Linked DNA regions of Drosophila melanogaster. The protein of the gene in region 1 interacts with the protein of each later gene in a pairwise test. Each region holds a gene or a part of one and is shown in the gene's direction. Other genes may lie near its edges.

The links.
Region 2: the proteins of fand (region 1) and THADA interact in a two-hybrid assay, tested with the Drosophila melanogaster proteins (one large-scale study listed by BioGRID).
Region 3: the proteins of fand (region 1) and Cyt-c1L interact in a two-hybrid assay, tested with the Drosophila melanogaster proteins (one large-scale study listed by BioGRID).

What each region holds. Positions count from the first base shown.
Region 1 is NT_033778.4:13,589,436-13,596,797, forward strand, and holds fand (fandango), read left to right. Parts: upstream 1-4,208; 5' UTR 4,209-4,290; coding exon 4,291-4,335; intron 4,336-4,393; coding exon 4,394-6,424; intron 6,425-6,487; coding exon 6,488-7,063; 3' UTR 7,064-7,122; downstream 7,123-7,362. Other genes in the region: CG6191 (uncharacterized protein), read right to left, coding at 1,165-2,009; CG45088 (uncharacterized protein), read right to left, coding at 2,272-2,337. UniProt on the Drosophila melanogaster protein: Subunit of the NTC(Nineteen)/Prp19 complex, which is part of the spliceosome. The complex participates in spliceosome assembly, its remodeling and is required for efficient spliceosome activation. Essential for efficient pre-mRNA splicing.
Region 2 is NC_004354.4:19,862,470-19,869,831, reverse strand, and holds the start of THADA (THADA), read left to right. Parts: upstream 1-4,307; 5' UTR 4,308-4,373; coding exon 4,374-4,482; intron 4,483-4,569; coding exon 4,570-4,747; coding exon of another isoform or gene 4,748-4,752; intron 4,753-4,822; coding exon 4,823-5,104; intron 5,105-5,169; exon of another isoform or gene 5,170-5,173; coding exon 5,174-6,006; intron 6,007-6,073; coding exon 6,074-7,362. Other genes in the region: Hers (histone gene-specific epigenetic repressor in late S phase), read right to left, coding at 1-1,422. UniProt on the Drosophila melanogaster protein: Together with methyltransferase Trm7-32, methylates the 2'-O-ribose of nucleotides at position 32 of the anticodon loop of substrate tRNAs. Plays a key role in energy homeostasis by regulating the balance between energy storage and heat production.
Region 3 is NT_033777.3:29,199,688-29,207,040, reverse strand, and holds Cyt-c1L (cytochrome c1-like), read left to right. Parts: upstream 1-2,907; 5' UTR 2,908-3,014; intron 3,015-3,195; 5' UTR 3,196-3,305; coding exon 3,306-4,340; 3' UTR 4,341-4,381; downstream 4,382-7,353. Other genes in the region: Mesh1 (metazoan SpoT homolog-1), read left to right, coding at 4,582-4,659, 4,727-5,071, 5,133-5,249; CG11899 (uncharacterized protein), read right to left, coding at 5,285-5,657, 5,714-6,390, 6,476-6,520.

The sequences.
Region 1 (7,362 bases):
CACACGCATTTGGACATTGCGTAATTACTTTGCGCTAATACAACCAGATATAATGCCCATGATTCAACGTTGACAGGCCGTTTAAGTGCGTGACAAAATGACTGGCGCCTCGGACAAAAGTTCCGAATTAAACGAACACCGCGACGCCCCTCGACATGCAATTCAATTCAACTTAATTCAAACAATTGTTTGCACAGCTTTCGGCCGGGCACGCTCTCTAATTTACGTTAATTGAGCCGGCACACGTTGATGAATGAAGCCGATTCGATTACAGGCCCCACCCTCCCATCCAACGCCCAACCCCTTGCCCCTCATGAGATCAAAATATTTGATGTGTATTTTTGGGGTAGGCGATATTTTTAGCGCCAAGCGACCGGCAACAGACAGACTCCTAATTATGCAGCATCAGGCGTTGAAAACGTGCAAATAGTCCCTCGCCATCTGCGAAAATACGTCACAATCGGAAAAGCGCTCTCTCAATTTTCACAAGCTTATGTTTATAAATAATTTTCGATTTCAGAACGCCCAGCGAAGTGTTTTGCTTTCGCGGTACTTTCGATCAAGCTGAGCCTTTTTCGTAAGCAAATTAGAGAACCAGTGTCAATTGGCTAACGTAAACTTAGCGGAAATTTCAATTAACAAATTTGGGGAGGGGAAAAATCGATGCCAATTATGACGACAGCTTAATTGAACTCAACAAAAGTTCAGTGATCAAGCGGAATGATTCATTCATTCTCGTAGCGTAGAAATTATTTATAAATCAACAAAGAGCAAAGGAATATTAAGCGAATTTCATTCGTACGTGTATGGTTGGAAAATATTGCGATTGGACTAAGGAAAACTGTCCACTTGACGTCACGTGTCAATCTATTTCTGAGTGTCTACAAGATAGAAGATCGTTTAATTGGAAAAACATAAATTTGAAGCTGCAATAACTTAACACATTTCCTGTTTGAATATTTTGGTAGGTTCCCTTATAGTCGATCTAATATAACATTTATAATATTATATAAACTTATGGTAAGAATCTTTACAGTTGCCTCTTCATACAGCTAATTTGATTACAACTTCTAGCAACTGCTTAACAAAATGCTGATTAGAAACCATAATAAGCTAAGATAGTTCACTGATATGACAAACATGAATTGTGCATTGATTACTCACCGTTCCCTCAGCGGCAATAGCTTGCTGCCCGCTCCGCCGGCCACGCCACCGCCGCTGCCCAGATTGGACACCTTGAGCGGTATCTTGACGCTGTCCGAATCGCTGCCACTCTCGGCACCCGATCCTCCGCTGCCGGCGGCGCAACTTCGTGCCTGCCGCTGTTGCTGCTGCAACTTGTGCTGCTGCTGCTGCTGCTGTTGGAGCTTATTGCCCATATTGCCATTGCCCGGTGCCTGGTGGTTATGACGACCCGACGAGGTCGGGCGCTTTATGTTGCGTCTCTCGGCCGGCACAATGCTGCTGCGATTGTGATCGGCGGCCGGCAGGACGTTCATCAGGTATTGACCCATATTTTCAGTTTCACTAAAATGCCCGTCCCCATCGCTGGCACCGGTGGTGCAGTCCTCCAGTCCCAATCCCAGCCCGATGCCGCCATCGATGCCCATGTGGACATCGGCGCTGCAGAGGAGCGGCGAACAGAGGGCGCCATTCTGGTGTTGCTGCTGCTGCTGATGCTGCTGCTGATGTTGCTGCTGCTGCTGCTGCTGTTGGGTGTGTTGCTGTTGTTGCTGTTGCTGCTGCTGCTGCGTGTGATGCCGCTTCTGGTGGTTGTGGTGCGTCGCCGAGTGGCTGCGCTGATGGTGGTGCTGCTGATAGTGCGGATGAAAGCCCCCCGAGCCGAGTCCCAGCGAGGATGGGTTCTTATTCTGGTTGCAGAGCAGGCTGCTGCCGAATGTTGCGCCGAATTTGGTGTCCCGATGGGTGCCATCTAACGAGATATTCGATAGGAACGAGATCGCAGCCAGTCTGCGCCTGTGTCTCGTCTTGTTGAGCGAACTTGCCATTAGGCGATGAACCCTTAATTACCAAGCGAGATTAACCGAAGTGGGTGCTGTGGGTCGTTTCCCTGGATGCTCCGATGTTGCTATATATGTACCTATATGTATATATAGTGTGTTTGTGTGTGTGTGCATATACTGTGTGGGAATGTGATGTTGCACTTTTCTGGAACACTCTTCGCGATTCTTTACGAAAAAACTGGTTTCGAAAGTGATTATGCTGCTGTTGTGTATTTTCACTGCTGGTTGCTCACTTTTCTTGATCGAATCAATTAAGTTTTTTAGTCTCTAACTTGGCAGCCGAATTAAAAAACAAACTACTTGAACGCGACATGGTGACGAATTTTTAGCACTTTAGATGACGGAAGATGGTTGGAATACGAATAATTTTATGCACTTTTATTATTAACTAGCGTTTATGCGTCGATGCGTTGCTTTGGCTGCAAGTAGAAATAAGAACAGAAGAGAGGAATGGAATCAATAAATGAGACTATAAAAAGCGGCAGGAAAGCTGCTTTTGGCCAAGAGAAGCTTTCTCCGAGCGTTTCTGGAATATTCGTTGAAGTGCAGTGGGTGGCTTAGGGGAAATTGTGGTCAGCACATTCTCATTCTCAGTGGGCAAAATATTGAATATGATATAATATTGTTAGCAGAAGTCATCTCAATATGATATTTTATAATTAGCAATGTTTTTAAGCTATTTTTAAGTGAATATGCTATGGTTTTTTCAACTCTTTTAGATTATTTACAATTTTTAGACATAATAATCATTTTAAAAAATCTCATTTGAAAACAACGGGCATTTTTAATTTTAAGAATTAAAAGTTTTCCTTGAAATAAACCCGAATCTTTGCTGGGATTTTAGCCAACTGAATTGATAAAGCTTTTCCGCTGGCAGTTAAAAAAGCTGCATGCGGCTCAAAGCTGCAGTGGTTTTAGCCGCCTTTGTTGTTGCTGTTGTTGCTGGCGGGCGGCTTAGTGTGTCAGTTTAGTGGGTGGCAACAGTGCGAAGAGAGGGGGTGGCAAAGAGAGAGATATTGGGCCACAGCCGGCAAGGAAAATCTAAGCGCTTTTCCGCACTTTCGTGTGTGTTTTCTGTTTACATTCAATACGGGAGGCCCTAAAATGCCCAAAATTTTCCCTCGGGCAACAAGAGCGAGTGGAAAATTTTTGAGAACCATCATAAACAGCTGTTCGGGAAGCGGGGAAATAGATTTTCCGGTGGTGGTTTTTTTTTACCTAGGATCCAGTCTAATTGGATTTACCTGGACCAATTGGAGTGCGGCGGCACACACAAGTTTGAGCCTGTGCGAAAAATATAAAATCAATGCAGGAACAAGTGTGTGCGAAAATATTTATGACACCCACCCACTCACACGCTCGCACACACACACTTGCAAGCACACGCACACGTGTGACGTGTTTTTTCGTGTTTTCCCCTCGTCTTTTACTTACCACTGTGCTTGGTTTTTCCACGGTCGTTGGGTATTACTTAAAACTTAATTCGATTGATAGTCGTTCTATGCTGAGAAATGTTTCAAGCGCGTCATTTTGATCTATTTTTATAGTGTTTTTTTCGATAGACTTTGATTTTTTGCCTTTGGCTGCCAACTCGCCTGCGCTCCTCACTCTCTTTGGCTCTCTTTTGCACGGCTGTGTGTGTGTGTGTGTGTGTTGGTGCACTCACGCAGTTGCCTTCGTTGCGTAAATTATGCAAAATGCAGGCCAATTGCAATGTGTTTACAAAAACAGAACAAACGATCGCGTTAAGTGTGTTTTTTGCGATTTTACGAGCGCGTTAACTGGTCTCTGCGAAATACGCAAACGGTATGAACGTCAAAATATTGGCAGCAGCGACGAAAACATCTGCAGATGGGCTTACGAAAAATTCACAAACTGAGGCCAGTGTTGGGCAGCGGACGAAGGGCGAAATACCAATTCAAAGGGAGGCAAAATATACCGCAATGGTACTCTAGAAAATTCACGATTGTTTTGGTTTGTCCATAACTTCAACGTTTAAATAAGGTGCACTTAGAAAATTCTAGATGTTCACAATTTGTAAAAAAAATGTACACAAGCCAAAGTTATCTTAGTTTTATGAACAATTTTTCTGTATTCTTAAAATATTGTTTACATGTTAATTAGGATTTAATTACTTTGGTATTAGCTGCGGTATCTTAATACCACTACTTTTCAAACCTTCTGGCAACGCCATTTCGATCAGCTGTTTTCGTGGGACGCGCATGAGAAAATTATTGTTTGCGGCATTTCATGAAAATCGCGAAAAATGGTGACAAAAACGATAAAATCTCTGAATTTAGAGATCAATTTCGTAAGTACCATGAAATATATGTAAATCACAACTAACCTATCAAGTTTTTCACACACAGGAAGTGGAGGATGTGCCGTATGAGGAGGAAATCCTTCGAAACGCCTACTCCGTAAAACATTGGCTGCGCTACATTGATCACAAAGCGAAGGCGCCGAATAATGGTGTTAACATGGTCTATGAGCGTGCTCTGAAAGAGCTTCCTGGCAGCTATAAGATCTGGCACAATTACCTGAGAACTCGCAGGAAGCAGGTGCGCGGCAAGATACCCACGGATCCCATGTACGAGGAGGTCAACAGTGCCTTCGAACGTGCACTGGTGTTTATGCACAAAATGCCACGTATCTGGATGGACTACGGTGCCTTCATGACCTCGCAATGCAAGATTACCCGCACCCGGCACGTTTTCGATCGGGCTCTAAGGGCTCTGCCCATCACGCAGCACGGCAGGATTTGGCCACTGTATTTGCAGTTTGTACGCCGCTTTGAAATGCCGGAAACAGCACTGCGAGTCTACCGTCGATATCTGAAACTCTTTCCCGAGGACACAGAGGAATATGTGGACTACCTACAGGAAGCAGATCGGCTGGACGAAGCTGCCCAGCAGCTGGCGCACATCGTCGACAACGAGCACTTCGTTTCCAAACACGGCAAGTCCAATCATCAGCTGTGGAACGAATTGTGCGACCTCATCTCGAAGAATCCACACAAGGTGCACTCCTTGAACGTGGACGCCATCATTCGCGGTGGGCTGCGTCGCTACACCGATCAGCTGGGCCACCTGTGGAACTCTCTGGCGGATTACTATGTGCGTTCCGGCTTATTTGATCGGGCAAGAGATATATACGAGGAAGCCATTCAAACTGTGACCACCGTAAGAGACTTCACCCAAGTCTTTGATGAATACGCACAGTTCGAGGAACTCTCGCTGAACAGACGTATGGAGCAGGTAGCTGCCAATGAGGCGGCCACCGAGGAGGACGACATTGACGTTGAACTGCGGCTCTCACGCTTCGAATACCTCATGGAGCGCCGTTTGCTGCTGTTGAATAGTGTGCTTCTGCGCCAGAATCCGCACAACGTGCACGAGTGGCACAAGCGGGTGACACTGTACGAGGACAAGCCCGCCGAGATCATCAGTACGTACACCGAGGCCGTGCAAACAGTGCAGCCGAAGCAGGCGGTCGGCAAACTACACACTCTCTGGGTGGAGTTCGCCAAGTTCTACGAGGCCAACGGACAGGTGGAGGATGCTCGTGTGGTCTTCGAACGCGGCACTGAGGTTGAGTATGTTAAAGTAGAGGATCTGGCGGCGGTGTGGTGCGAATGGGCAGAGATGGAGTTACGGCAACAGCAGTTCGAGGCGGCACTCAAGCTGATGCAAAGGGCGACGGCCATGCCAAAGCGAAAGATTGCCTATTATGATGATACGGAAACGGTGCAGGCGCGCCTTCATCGCTCGCTAAAAGTGTGGTCCATGTACGCGGATTTGGAGGAGTCATTCGGCACATTCAAGACGTGCAAAGCCGTCTACGAGCGGATTATTGATCTGAAAATCTGTACGCCACAGATCATTATCAATTACGGAATGTTCCTCGAGGAGCACAACTACTTTGAGGAAGCCTACCGAGCCTATGAGAAGGGCATCTCTCTGTTCAAGTGGCCCAATGTCTACGACATTTGGAACTCTTATCTAACCAAATTTTTGGAGCGCTATGGCGGCACAAAACTGGAGCGAGCCAGAGATCTCTTCGAACAGTGCCTGGATCAGTGTCCTCCCGAGCATGCTAAGTACTTTTATTTACTGTATGCTAAGTTGGAAGAGGAGCACGGTCTCGCCCGGCATGCCATGTCGGTCTATGATCGTGCCACGTCTGCTGTCAAAGAAGATGAGATGTTCGACATGTACAACATATTTATAAAGAAGGCAGCCGAGATCTATGGCCTGCCACGTACCCGCGAGATCTATGAGAAGGCCATCGAATCGCTGCCCGAGCAGAATATGCGCCACATGTGCGTTAAGTTTGCTGAGTTGGAAACGAAGTTGGGCGAAGTGGATCGAGCTAGAGCCATCTATGCTCATTGCTCACAGGTATGATAATATATATAGATTTCTAATGCATCACTTAATCTAATTATTGTTTGCATTCTTCAGGTTTGTGATCCCCGCATCACTGCAGACTTTTGGCAAACTTGGAAGGAGTTCGAAGTGCGTCACGGCAACGAAGACACAATGCGCGAAATGCTGCGCATCAAGCGCTCTGTGCAGGCCACTTACAATACGCAGGTGAACATGATGGCCGCCCAATTCCTGAGCACAAACAACGGAGCGGCTGCGGATGCTGGAGCAGGAGCTGGACCGGATGCCATGCGATTGCTGGAGGAGAAAGCTCGCCAGGCGGCAGCCGAGTCCAAACAGAAGCCCATCGAGAAGGCGGCCTCGAATATTATGTTTGTGCGCGGTGAGACTCAGGGTGGTGCTAAGGATAAAAAGGATACGGTCGTCAATCCTGATGAGATCGACATTGGAGACAGCGACGAGGACGATGAGGAGGAGGACGACGATGAGGAGAACGAGATGACGAACGAGAATCAGGCCAGTGCAGCGGTCACGAAAACCGACGAGGAAGGCCTGGTCATGAAGAAACTGCGCTTCGAACAAAAGGCCATTCCAGCCAAGGTCTTCGGCAGCCTCAAGCCCTCAAATCAAGGCGACTCTGATGGAGAGTAAATGTTTATACATATATATGACTTTTTTCGGGGTAAATACATGTATGTCGAAAGTTTTACAATTGTAATTGATCGGTTTTTATGTTCTGGCCTCAATTAGATTCTTAAATGGTACTTTGATATTAATTGTTGTCAAACGAAGGGGGCCTGTTAGATATTGTCTCCGTTTTGGATGATCTAGTTAGTATAGCCTTAGGCCAAACAGAGGAACACACTTTCAACTGTCATTCCAAAATTGTTAGGCACTTCGTGATCTAAAAAAGCTAACCAGACGTGCGCAAGGGCGGACTAACCAGGACT
Region 2 (7,362 bases), on another chromosome or scaffold:
CTTGATCGGCTCCTCGTCTTCCGATCCCGACTTGAAGTCGTATATGTCCTTGGCTCCGCTCCATGAGGCAGCCGGTGCCTTCTGGTTCAGCGCCTGTTGCATGCGACCCTTCGATCCCGCCGATGTCTTCGTGTACTTCACCTTCGGTCGCTGTTTGGGTGCTCCCCCTGGTGGTGGCGGCGGTGGTGCGGGTTGCCCCGCTGCAATGGCAGTGGATGAGGGAGTCGAGGTGGGTGTAGGCGTGGGCGTGAGCGTCGGCGTGGGAGTTCTTGTCCGTGTGGCCGTGGGCGTTGGCGTTAGCGTGGGCGTGGCTGTGGGTGTCGGTGTCGCCGTGGGCGTGGCCGAAGGCGTCGGCGTCACCGTGGGCGTACTGACAATCTCCTCCAGTTCCATTTGCACAGATTCCGTATTTGAGTCGGGCAAACGGGCAGTGCTCTTCACCAAGTTGGCTTCCTTTTTCGGTTTGCCCATTTTGGCCAGCTTGGATAGCTCCTTTTTTGGCATCTGCTCTGAATGGGCTGATTTCTTGCCAGGATTCTTTGTCGATGTATGCTTGGAAGTGGAAGCGGAGCTGGGTGCTGACGTAGCTGCGGAAGTTGTCGTTAAAACTGTCGCCTGTACTAATGATGACTCCACCTTGGCCTTCTTGGCCTGCTGCACCGTCTTCTTGGGCACCTTTGAGGCAGGAGACTCCTCTGGAGCGGGAGGCGGCGTGATCTGCTGCTCCGCCTTCGGTTTCTCCTTATCGAGTACCTTTTCTGCCGGCTTCTCCGCAACTTTTTCTCTAACTGGCTCCGGTGAGGGACGCACTCGCTTTACAGGCGGCATCTTGCCGGGATTCAGGCTGGAAATCACCTTGACCGCCGCTGCGCGCGACTTGGTCTTGACATTCTCCGAAATGGAGGACTTCAGCACGCCGTCGTTGAGCCGCTCTTCGCCGCTAGGCAGCAGGTTGTCGAAGCCGTGGATCTTGATATCCAGGCTCTTAAGCATCTTGTTAATGGCCCGCGCCTTGCCATCCTCGTGTCGTTCCTCCGGCGACAATTTAAGGCTGTTGGAAGCAGATGCAGATGCAGATGCGGACGGGGCGGTTGTCGAGGATGTGGATGATGTCGTGGTGGAGGTCGTTTGTTTTCCGCCTCCATTTCCAGCACCACCCTCAGTGGTGGCTGTGGACACGCCCGATGATCCCGTTGGATCCTTGGCCGGCTTCTTGGCCGCCGAATCTGTTTTGCTGGCTGACTTCTTGTCATCCGCCTCGTCGCCGCCGCCACCGGAGGCCTTCGTCTGTTTCCCGGGCCGCTTCTTGCCCTGCGTCGAGGACGCCGTCGCTGCTGCGGCAGCTGCTGCTGCCGCCGCTGCCGCAGTCGCCGTCGAACGCTGGACACGCTCGGCGGCATTGGAGCGCTTCTTCGAGACCATTTCGTGGGGCTGTGCGGGAAAGAGGAGCGGTAAACGAGGGAGGTTAATAAATGAAGTATTTCGAGAAGAGACCAAGAAACAAGGGCCTGCCTCCTACACATTCACTTTCGTTTGCCCCCCCCCCCCCCATCCTTTCTGCTCCGTGGTACATTTCAGTTCGGTTCCTTGTAATTCAGCTGAAGTGGCCGCACGTGACAAACAATGGGAACGCCAGCTACGAAATGAAAATGGAGGCGGAGTGCCAGAGAATGCATCTCAACTCGAAACTGTCGGTTGGAACATGGAGTATTTAGAGTACCCATCACTTGCTGTTCTTATTTTCAAATAAAAGAATGAATTGTTTTATATCGATTTGGATTTATTTACTCGACTTAAAGATAATCGGCTGGACCTAGAAGGTTTTAACTGAAATGCAGAACAATTTAGATTTGACCTTTACTAACCTTCAAACTACTAACCTATATATTGTACATATGTAAACGCATTTACAATGTTTGAAAAGCTTTCGATACGCAATTATGCGACATATAATATATATAATATAATATAAAAATATAATATAAAAATATAATATAAAAATATAATATAAAAATATAATATATATAATATAATAATATATATATATAATCATAATTACAAAAATTACTATGCACATCATATTGCACATCGCGAAATTCTATTATTTAATCAATTGTTTTGAAGGAGTAATAAGTATGCAATTACAAAAAGTATTTATTTCAAATTGTTTTATTTTACAGGACTCATAAAAAACTCACTAAACTCATTAAAATGCATTCTCCAATTTAAATGTTTGCTATTTCTTAAAATTTGCTTTATCTTAAAATATAAATAAATAAATTCGATGCAAAGCTAAACCAAATTATATTCTTAAGGACTTAAAAGAATGACATACTAGAAATATTCATTGAAAAATTCGTAACGGATAAAAGGAAAGTTAAACATTTTTCATTGTTCCGAAGCGTGGAATTATTTAAAAAACTCGTACCTATGAAAACATTTTAAAAGATCTGTATTCAGAAAATCACACAAAAGATATTAGCTGGTAGCGGGTTAATTGAATTCGGAATTATATTATCACTATAAGCGAGTGATTACTGTATTCCCACCCACTAAGCCCAGTCTTCCTCCCTCTTCCTCTTCCTTTTCCCTTTTCGGTCGCTCTTATTGTTACGTTTGATGGGGGGGGGGGAGATGCCACCGTTAGAAAGCCAAAGTCACTCACCTCTCGCTCGCACCTTCAGTGGCGCTCGCTTGCCGTCCCGCTCGCTCTCACTGCGCTGTGGCCGTTGGTCCGCTGCAGCTAGTGCAACAGCAACAACAACTACAACAACTGCAACTGCTCTGGGAGCCGCAACAACAACAACAACAGCAGCAAGCACGAGGAGAATGGCCAGCGGAGGGCACGAAAATCCGTAGGCCGCCCATCTGCCGACCTTTAATGACGTTTCGCGATGCTTCCTAAGCCGTTTGTTGTTCTCCTACTTTCGGGCGGGCGCACTTTTATTTATGTTTTTATTTATTTGTGGGTGCTGCTCCACTTTGTGGTGAGATTTATTGTTTTTGCCGATCGCGTTTCACTTCAAACTTGTGCGGCGCCTATTTGCATAGAAGTGTGCGTGTGTGAGTGGGTGGCGGGAGGGGCGGGAAAAAACATAAACATAAACATTTTATACACATTTCGTCACAAATAAAGAGGCGCACACACACATACACATGCACTCACGGTGTATCAACAAAAAAAAGCCTCTCTCTCGCTCGCTCCCTCTCACTCTCACTCCCTCTCTTTTACTCTGGCGCTCCCACACAAAACACACTACACAGGCAAAACGGCCAAGCCAGGTGGATTTCTCCGAATTTTCATAGATGCTTTTCGGGCTTTCGCAAGTTATGTTACATGCTTGTTTTAAGATAGGTTACGAGAAAACGAGGAAAAACACTTTTACGAATCCTCCCCCTCTCACGTACACACACAAATGCACCTTACACCCAACAAATACATACGCACGCACACGCACACGTCGAGCGTTTGGCATACGAAAACATGATGCAAACTTTTCCTATTGGAAACCAATTGTGTTTTCCATCTGAATCGGATGGCACCGTGGGCCGAAATATTTACTATTCGCACATAAAAATCGCATCGTACAGGGCTCACTCAATAAACAAATCACAGGAAAAAAAATAAATAACCCAATGCACATTAGAGGTGGAACTAGGACCTATTTCCATGCGATACTATCGATAGATACGTATCAAGTTTTGTTGGTGCTGTGTGTAACGGGCAAGGAGAGCGGATGGCAACTCTTGTCGCGGCGCGTATCTCCGATAGAAGAAAAGGTGGCAGCACAGAATTTATGGGCGCACTGGGTTAGCAGAGGAGCAAGTACTTGCTAAGCGTGAGTGTTTGGCATCCCAGATGTGGAACTTAGTTCCACAAAGTAAAGTAAGTAAATAAGTAAAGGTGGCAACTAATGTCGTAAACAATATTACCGCTTGGGAATCGATTCTTTTCGATTCTAAAAAAGATCGATTAAGTCGAAAAAAACGGCCTTAAATCAATTAATCAGCTTAAAAATTAAGAGGCAGCTCTTATGCTTAGAATTTTTGTTATCTAAAAAAATGCAATGTTAATATATTTTGTAAGATCAATATGTTTTCATAGATTATTTATAATCCACTGGTACGTAGGGGGCAGTACAAATGTGATTAATTTAATTGAGGAATATTACTTTAAGATTAGATTTGTCACCTTATAAAGATAGATAGACATAGCATCGATTTCCTAGTAATGTTATCGATTTCTTCGCCCATCTGAAAATATCGATTAGATCGATTTTGAAATCGAATTGCTCACAGCTCTACTGACAACACCAAAGTGGCTGATTTAAACCATCTGATATTTACTATTTATCCGCAATCCTGACAGAACCATGAACGATCTGAACCTGCGCGTGGCCGCCTTGAAGGTGTGTGCTCACCCCAAGAGATTTGCCGAGCTGCGCGACGCCCTTGTGCCACTGCCCAACACGTGGATTGCCGGTGGGTTGTGGTGGGTCACTTAGTGACCACCAGTAAGCTATGTATAAACATGCATGCTGAGGCTCCAATCGCTTCTCCATTTTCCAGCGCCACATGACTTTGTGCTCCAGTTCGCGGCGGCCAAGAGCAGTGCGGAGCAGGTGCAGGTGGTCAAGGATGTCTTTTACGGGGAGCAGGCGCAAGATCATGAAGATGTAGCCCACTTCCTGGCGGATCTCCTGCTGGCCAGTCCCCTGAAGCACGCCGTGCGCAACCAGCTGACCAAGTACGGTGAGCCCACGGCGACTCAAGCCACACGATCCAACTGGATGTCCTATAGCCGATGATCAATCCCATTTAGACTCTTCTCGGACAATGCGCTGGCCAAACAGAATGCGTCGCCACATCGCAGGCACTCGAAGGAGCACCTGCTGGAGGCTCTGCAGCAGTCGCTCGGCGAAATGGCCAACAGTCTCGCAGTGATCACGCCGCCTGTCAGCCACGAGCGCACCAACGATGTCTTCGTGTCCGCCAACGCCTGCCTGCAGAACTTTCCCTTTGGACGGGAGGCCCTGGGCAAACAGGTGCATCGCTTTGCGCCGCTGCTAACTACCGCCTTGGAGCGCTACTGGGCGGACATTTGGTGCGTCAATCTAATGTATATGATAGCTGCGCACAATGCTGACTCCACAATTACCTTGCTTTAAGACAGTGACCCTACGCTGGAACTCTCGCCAACGCGTCGCAACGAGCTCTACTTGTACGTGCAGAATGCGCTGCGGTTCTTGGTTAGTCTGCTGGCCGAGTGGAGCGACAAGTTGCGCCTGTTCGAGGATCAGCGGTTTCCGGGCACGTCGAATGCGGTGGCCCAAAAGGTGGCTCGCTACTACGACACTCCGTGGGACGTACGCTCCATTGCCGCCCTGCTGATCGGTCACCTGGCTCGGTTTTCCGGAACATTCAAGGCGTATGTCGAAGACTGCTCGAGGCCAAAGGCAGAGCAGGATGTTCCCATACAGATGGCCGCCCTGCTCGTCCTGCGGCCCGTCGATTATACAGAAAACGCTACACTAGCACTGGCTATTCTGAAGAGGATCGTGGCCGTCAGCGAGCTGAAAAGCACCGTGACCAATCTGCTTGTCTTCCTTTCCAAGCATCTGTTCATTTACTCCAAATCGCTGGGCGAGATGCACGCCCATCTTCCTGACGACCAGAAGTTGCTATACCAACGGATCTTGGCACAGCTGCAGGTGTTCGCCCTGCAGAATATCTCCAGTGACACGGACTCCGTGCGCCACATGAGCAGCGCCCTGCTGCACCAGGTGCTGCAGCACGCCCAGGCCGCCGGCCAGGAGGAGCTCTTCCAAGTCGTCTATCGCCAGTTTGAAGATCGTGCTGCATACCTAAATGCCAGTTGCATGGCACTGGAGCAGCTGGTTGCGGTGGCCGGAGTCAGCAAGTCCATCGAGAACTGTCCTTCGCTGTTCGGAGTCATATTCCCGCGCCATCTGGGCTGTGAGGATTGTGTGGATGCCCTGTTCAAAGGCAAGTATCCTTCATTGAATGCAGCCTCGAATCGTGTACTTATTCCTTTTGTTATTATACTTATTAGCCATGATGGTATCGGCCCACAAGACGGAACCCTTCGCCGAGTGGCAGAGCCGGTGGTTCGGTCTGCTTTTGGCGGCAATCCGCGTGCCGGAGAAGCGCCGCCAGGTCATTGAGGAGCTGATCGCACAGGCCGTACAGCTGGAGCCAACGAGACTGGCGCAAGTGCTCCTGCCAGACGACCGGCTGCCGCTTAGCTGCAAGCTGGCGGCGATTCTGGGCGTGAGGCAACTCAGCGCCAGGCGGCAGAATCTGTTGCGTGGCATGAAAGAGGAGGTGGAACAGGCCCTCATCGGACTGGACGACCACACGCGCCTACTGGCGCTGCGATTTCTGGTGGAGACGCCGCGTCCCAGCGAACTTTTAAATGCCGACCAAATGGGCGCCATTGAACTTTACGTGCGGCACAATGCCAACAATCCTAGCGCCCATCTGCGGCAGCTAGGCTACGGTCTGCTGCAGAAGGCCCTCAAGAGAGTCCATTTCGGCCTGGTCGAGTACCGGAAGAGCCGCACGCCGGCGTCGCAGGAGGTGCTCCAGTTCCTAATACGGCTTATCCGCACTCTCGCGCAGAATCTGTTTCCCACGGCGAACTACGGACGACGCTGGCTTTCGCTGCGCTTGCTGCGCGATTGCCTGGAGTTAAGCGAGATGGTGGGCATAACGTTCAGCGAGTTGGGAATAGAGCTGCCCACAGAGGCACTGATGGCCTGCTTGGGCGACAGCTACGAGCACAACAAAGTGCTGGCCGCTCAGCTGCTGGAGCGATTTCAATCCCATTCCCTCTTCAAGCCGGATGAGATGATCGAGCTGCTGCTCTCCCTCAGGCCATCGGACTCCGCCACCGGAGCCTTCCAGCTGCAGGTCTATTGCAAAGCCAGTCGAGTGCAAAGCGAGATGCCCACGCCAACGCACGGTGGCACAATCCACGAGCCGCTTACCTTCAGGGCATTGCAGTGGTGCCTGCAGCACTTGAGGGAGGGCCTGCGTCTCGCCCAGCTTGATCTTGGCGAGGCGGCCAAGCTGAACCCTTTGTACGGCCTGCTTTTTGCCAGCCGGCATCTGCTGCAGCAACTCAAACTCAAGGAACTGGCGAAAGAGCCTCAGTGGAGGCAGTACATAGACGAGCTAGTGACCATGTGCCTGGCAGTCAGCAGCGTAGTGCTGCCTGTGGTCAGCAGCGCTTCCCCCGAAGGCCACCTGCCCGAAACCTGCGACCAGGAGACGGATCAGCCGCTGACCAACGTGCTCGACCGTCAGTTGAGCCGCGAGGAACTGCTGCAGGTGCGCACG
Region 3 (7,353 bases), on another chromosome or scaffold:
TATCTTTCTCCCGAAGCTTGGTCTTTTCTCTTGGCGACCGAAGACTGCGAAGAAGTTTACAAAAATCCAAAGCAAAACCGCATGCTACACATAAACACACACACACACTCACACTCGCAATTGACGCACACACAGATACATTGCACCCATACATGCGCGTAAATCGTGATGTCGTTGTATATAGGGGAGCATAGCGATTTTGCTGTTGTTGTCTTTGCGAAATTGAGCGATAAATGAGCAGCGAGAACGAGAATCCGAAAGATACGAAATCGAAAGAGAGCGCCAAAGAGAGCGAACTGAAAGTTCATTTCTCGCATGCGATTTTCCAGCGCCTTCAACGGTAGCTGCGCACGCGTTAAAACGATCTTTCAGATACGTCATAAAAGAAAGATGTTTATTATGAGCAAAAAGTTTGGGTATGCCTTCTGTGTTGAATATTAAATGAAAGCTGGTTTTTATTAAAGAGAGAGAGATGCTTTGTAGTTCAGTTTAAGCAATGCAGTTTATAAATACAAATCAATTGGAAATCATATATTTATAAGCATGCCTAAAGGTGTAATTGCTAATAGCGATTCTTTCTTTTGTGTGGACGTAACCAAATGAAGTAAACTGGCCAAATTAATGGTTTCCGCTTTGTATCTCAAAAGAGCTGCTTTGATTTTCTTCTAGCGTTGTCCAGCACTGCGAGTGCAGCAGATGCAACTTGGTGCTGGGATGCATTCACTTGTGGCCAAAGGCGCTGCTCACACAGATACCCACCGATGCAGTGCCCCCGCACTCGCACTGGCACTAACACACACACACCTACGTACTGGGGATCGGTGGCAAAGATGCAAGATGCGCTCGCATTGCAACTGGCTTTTGGTCTATAATTCTTGTTTCTGGTTTTCGTGCTGCCAAGATAAGGAGTGGGACATGGCCAGCACACAGCCTCATCGTTATTACGTTCCTCTGGCGTATGATGACGGTGGTGCTGCTGATGATGATGTTGCAAATGATAATGATGACGGAATCATCATCTTGCTCTGGAGAGGAGGACAGGAAACTGCAGCAGCATGGCGCTTTGGCTCCCAAAGGAAGCTGACCAGTAATATTTACATTTATTGCTAAATTATGCACACTTTTTTGTGCCGTACTCGGGTATTTTTATTTGCAGGCCCATCTTTTTCACGAATAATTATTCAGTTGATAAGTCATATCTCTTGCATTTTATATCTGATTTGGACATAGTCCGGTCTTTGTGTTTACCCCGAAGTCAATTGCATATTTTAGACCACTTCAGTGCAGTTACTCCTTTGATAAATACGAGCAATTTGGGAAAAAAGGATTGCAACACATCCTTCGCTGTTAAGTGGAGAAATATGCAGATTCCAATTAATCACAATACCACTGCATTTCTTTATATCATATATTCCGTGATAGATTTTCCTAACCATAGTATATAATCATCTAGAAATTGGACAATCATGCCCGCTTTGTTTTCTACTTAAATGTAAACAACGCCATTTATTAATGAGTTTGTAATTTGAATAAAATTCATGACGTGAGCCCATTTCTATGGGGTCGCAGCACAATCTCTGCGGTTTTCCACGGTGAAAAGCGTTGCGATTGCTACTAATGGCCGGAGATTTTCATGGAAAGTTGGTGCGGTTGCTGCTGCTTTTTCTTGCTTATGAAAATTTCACGCCAGTCGAAAAGAATTATTAATTGCGCAGCGGCAACGGGAACAACAACAACAACAACATTTAGCCACCACCGCAGAGGAAAACAACAACAACAACAACAACCGCACACAAATTTCAAAAGTGGGAATTATGCATCGCTGCGCAGAAGCAGAACTCTAAAAACGCACATAGGGAAAATCCGGGGGTAAATGTATCTGCATCTGTATCCGTGGAAGTATCTGTATCTGTGTGCCTGTAAGCGCGTGTAAAATATGGTAAACATGGAAATACGTAATAACTGAAAAAAAAAAAAACAAGAAAACCAGACCAACAGCTACAAAAAGAGTGTAACAAAAAAGGGAAATATAAAATCAGGTACAAATTTTCACCAAAAACAAAAAAAAAAAAATAGAGTTTACATCGCTCTGTCGACGTCGACAGTGCATTGTCATTATTGGTTGCCATAGGCGTCGAAAAGGGGGTTCCCCTTTATGGAACTATCACCTCTAAGCTTACAATCCAAGCATTGTAATGGAGTTTAGTGGGTTCTGATTAATTTGAAGGGTAGTAAAGCAGCTTTATGACAATTATTGGTTGCTTCATTACTACCTTGCCCACATTCTGAGCCCCCCTAAAATTGCGGTAAGCCGACGCCCCTACTCCTTGGCTGTTGTAAAAGCTGGCTTGGGCCTGACTTTGACGATTTCGTGGTCACACAGTGTGAAGAATGGCTAGGAAATATTGTATGCACCGTTGTTTGGTGGGCTGTTACCGATTTACAGATTACTGAGCCAGATAACAAATGAAAGTGCCCTGGCATTTGCTTTTTTTTTTGTATTTTTAAGTTGCTCCGCTGGTTGGACAGGAAAGAAACCCAGAAGGAGGCGATCGTTACAACAATAGAGAAAAACGTTGATTCAACCTTTTAGCTGTGAAGAATAACAGCACTTTGGGTGGGTTTTGGTTTACATATGCTTTATGGAGAAAGATCACCGATAAGAATCTGGCTAAGCTGGGCTTGATGTGGAAGAAAGTCTGTGCTGGGATTTCTAAGCATCCTGCCTTCTCTGTAGTTCCAGAAACTAACTTTTTTAATACTGCTTACACAAGGGAGAGGGGCTTAGATGTTTTCCAAATAGTTTAGCAGAGCTTTTAAGTGCATTTCGATCGATATGTATCTTAATTAGTAGGTAAAGGTTGCTCTTGCCGGCTTTGTGTGAAATGTCATTAAAAAATTGTTGTGAAAAAGCTTATACTTTTACACATTTCAATATTTCCAAACAATTACATATTTTCTTCGCAATGACGATTTTTTGCCATCAAAGGAGGAAGTCTAATATTTTGCCATAGGTGAGTACAGTAAAGATAGATTCCTAAGTGTTAATCTTTCAATTGATAATGTATATTGTTATTACTGCATTTAAGCCATTCACTTGATCCGTAATTTTGCATGTGATGGTGTTATATTTAAATTAATATATAATAATTAAAATATTAACTTACCGCAACACACGTGATTTCATTTCGACAGAACATATTTCCCCAAGTGGTGACAACCCCAGTCGACAGAGCTTTCCAACACTGGTTGCGTTGACATTGTAAATAAATCGTTTTGAGAGATAAAGCTGAATCCGACCGAAAATGGCCAACAAATTCAGGAGTCTGAACAGCAAACTTTTCCAGCTGGCCATGAGCGGCATCCAGCGGACATCGGTGCGTCCGCGGATAAGTTTTCCGGGTCGTGGAAGCGGCTTTACTGGAAATCGCAAGCTGCTGGGAGCCCTGGGAGCCCTAACCGGAACAGCAGGGCTGCTGATCTACGCCCTGGAAACCAGCGTGGATGCCTCCTCGGACTGCGTGCATCCGGCCCACCAGCACTGGAATCACAAAGGGCTTTTGTCCGCCTTGGACAAGGAGAGCGTGCGTCGAGGTTACACCGTTTACAAGGAGGTCTGCTCCTCCTGCCACTCATTGCAGTACATGGCCTATCGCAACCTGGTGGGAGTGTGCATGACGGAGGCGGAGGCCAAGGCCGAGGCGGAGGCCATCACGGTGCGGGATGGGCCCAACGAGGAGGGCGAGTACTACGAGCGTCCCGGCAAGCTGTCCGATCACTTCCCCTCTCCGTACGCCAACGAGGAGGCGGCCCGTTCCGCCAACAATGGCTCCTATCCGCCGGATCTCAGCTATATTGTGTCGGCTCGCAAGGGCGGCGAGGATTACGTGTTCTCCCTGCTCACCGGATACTGTGATCCTCCGGCTGGTTTTGCCCTTCGTGATGGACTGTACTTCAATCCGTACTTCTCGGGCGGAGCGATTGCCATGGGCAAGGTAGTTGACAATGAGGTGGTCTCCTTTGAAGATCCAAATGTGCCTGCTTCGGCCGCCCAAATTGCCAAGGATGTGTGCGTCTTCCTCAAGTGGACTTCAGAACCGGAGACCGACGAACGTCGCCTGCTGCTCATCAAAGTTACTCTGATTTCGACCTTTTTGATTGGCATTTCCTACTACATCAAGCGTTTTAAGTGGTCAACGCTCAAGTCTCGCAAGATCTTCTTCATTCCCGAACTGGAGGCCCAGGCCAAAAGAGAGGCGGAGGAGGCCGCCAAAGCAGCGCGCAAGGCCAAGGAGCAGGAGTGCAACAAGTGCGAGAACCAGAACGAGAAGAAGGACTAAGTTTGGTGAACTGTTTAAATAAAGGTTTTTGAATTTAAATGAATGCCGCGCTTTTTATTTATCGATAGGTTTTCCAGGGCCTAACCATCCGCGCTGTAAAGCACCAACAATTGCTCTGTTATAGATTCTTGCCGGTCTGTTAAGTCAGCTGTTATGTTAAAAATGTAAATAAATGCAAAAAATAAGGTTTAGACTTTAAATTTGAACTAAAGGCCCGTTCATTTAATTATTTCTTACAACAATGGCCACATATCCATCTGCCAAATTCATGGAGTGCCTCCAATATGCAGCTTTTAAGCACCGGCAGCAACGTCGCAAGGTAAGCTTATTAAAACGCAACAAATGATATATTTAAAACATGAATACTATCTTTTTTACATTTCAAGGATCCTCAGGAAACCCCCTATGTGAACCATGTGATCAATGTGAGCACTATTCTCTCCGTGGAGGCCTGCATCACAGATGAGGGAGTCCTAATGGCTGCACTTCTGCACGATGTCGTGGAGGATACGGACGCATCTTTCGAGGATGTTGAGAAACTCTTTGGACCGGATGTTTGTGGACTAGTGAGGGAGGTGACGGACGACAAGTCCCTGGAGAAACAGGAGAGAAAACGCCTGCAAATAGAAAATGCAGCCAAAAGCAGCTGCAGAGCAAAGCTCATAAAGCTGGCTGACAAATTGGATAACCTAAGGGATCTGCAAGTCAACACACCGACAGGGTGGACACAGGTATTTGGGCCCATCTTGGTTTGAAAAACGGAACCTTATGGATCACATATTTTCATTCCAGGAGCGTCGTGATCAGTACTTCGTTTGGGCCAAAAAGGTGGTGGACAATCTGCGAGGAACCAACGCCAACCTGGAGCTCAAGCTGGACGAGATCTTCCGCCAACGCGGCCTTTTGTAAACGATCAAAAACCAACAAATTACAGATGAACCTGTTCAATTTTTATTGTTCTTGTAAAAGGCCAGCATCAGATTGGCCAACTGTTGGGTCTCCGCCAGCGTTACAGCATTGTAGAGGGAGGCTCGAATGCCGCCCACCGACCGATGACCCTTCAACTGAATCATGCCCTCGGCCTCGGCTTTGCTCAGGAACTCCTTCTCCAGGGCATCATCTCCACTGGCACTGCCAATACGGAAGGGCACATTCATGCGCGAACGCACATTGACATCCACTGGGCAGTAGTAGAAACCATTCGACTGGTTGATCGTGTCGTAAATCAACTTGGACTTGGCTGCCGCCAGCTTGGCCATACCAGCGACTCCTCCGTTCCGCTTGATCCACTTGAAAACCAGGCCCATCACATAGATGCTGCAAGGGGAAAGTTTAACAAAGAATTCACCAGCCATGTATCATTCTGGGCTCACCCAAAGGTCGGCGGAGTATTTAACAGGGAGTTGTTCTTGTCCATCTGCTCAAAGTTGAGGATGGAGGGCGTAATCTTCAAGTGCTTGCCTATCAAATCGTCCCTGACAATGATCACCGTGGTGCCCGCTGGTCCGATATTCTTCTGGGCTCCCGCATAGATAACGCCAAACTTGGAGACATCGAAGGGACGCGACAGAAAATTGGAGGACATATCGGCCACCAGTGGCACACCGGCTGGAACCTCGGGCACAAAGTCGAACTCCACGCCCTCTACGGTCTCATTGTCGCAGTAGTAGACATATGAGGCATTTGGGTCCAGCTTCCAGGTCTCCTGTCGTGGAACAGTTGTATACTTTGCCAACTTGGGCAGCACCGCGTTCACAGTGCCGTACTGAGCCGCCTCCTTGGCCGCCTTGGCCGACCAGGAGCCGGTGATTACATAATCAGCAGTGCCAGTCTTGCCAATCAAGTTCAGAGCCACTGCAGCGAACTGTCCGGTGCCACCGCCCTGCATCAGCAGAATCTTGTAGTTACTGGGCACATTGAGGAGTTCGCGAAGATCGCTGATGGTCGCATCATGGATCTTGGCATAGTTGCTGGAGCGATGGGACATCTCCATGACCGAGATGCCGCTGCCATTGCAGTTGACAAGATTTTCCTGCACCTCTTTCAGTACCTATATATGCAGATAGAGATAACCATGTAATCAAGGTTACTATTACACGTCACGTGTGTGGAGTGGTGCCACCCATTTCACCGACCTCTTCGGGCAACTTGGCTGGACCGGCGGCGAAGTTGATAACCATGCTGATACTATGTAGTGCGTCTGCGATCTATGAACCTCTCCGGGAAGCGGCTAAATATTGACTAAAGTGTTGAGCAGTCCGTGCGAGTATTCGCAATCGCTGATAAACGAGACGAAGGCGGGCACAGAGAACAGCAACAAGTCACCGGACAGTAAACAAAACGCGTGCGGAAAACCAGACTCAAATTCGCCCGACTGGACAACGAACTCGGTTGCTCCAGGGACGGATTCTCCACCGGGAGGGTGTTCGACTCCAAGCCCCCCATTTTGGGCTGCGCTCCTGTGGAGTCCATAAAGCCAGACAAAGGCAGGCGGCGGTACGGCGAATTCGATCAAAACAAGTCGGCTAACGTATATAATTACATATGTACGTACATACATACATATGTACATATGTGCAACGCACGAAAACAAAGTGCTTCCCAGTAACCCCCCCACTTCATCGTGTGTGTGCCCCGCCCCCAAGCCAGCGTGGGTTGCCATGCACTTTTCGCTGGAATGACAATAACAAGCGAGCGACTGAGTTCGCAGGCGAGTAAACAAGCTGCAAGCGAAATGTGTAAGTGCAATGTACAGTGGAGCTTCGATGCATGCGACAGTGAGTTTATGATTTCATAGCTTTTTATTGAATTATCTGTAGAGTATAACCAATATTAGGCATTATATATTTAACTAAGGCTTAAGTAAGTTGGCTACCATAATTGGTAGTAAATTTCAAGCAAAACAAACCGTCTGCCGATTAGCAATTCCGCGAACTCTTTTGCACGCCTGGTCATATCTGCAAACCGATTCCTTATCCTTATCCGCTTCCTATTGTTGTAAGGGCAATCAATC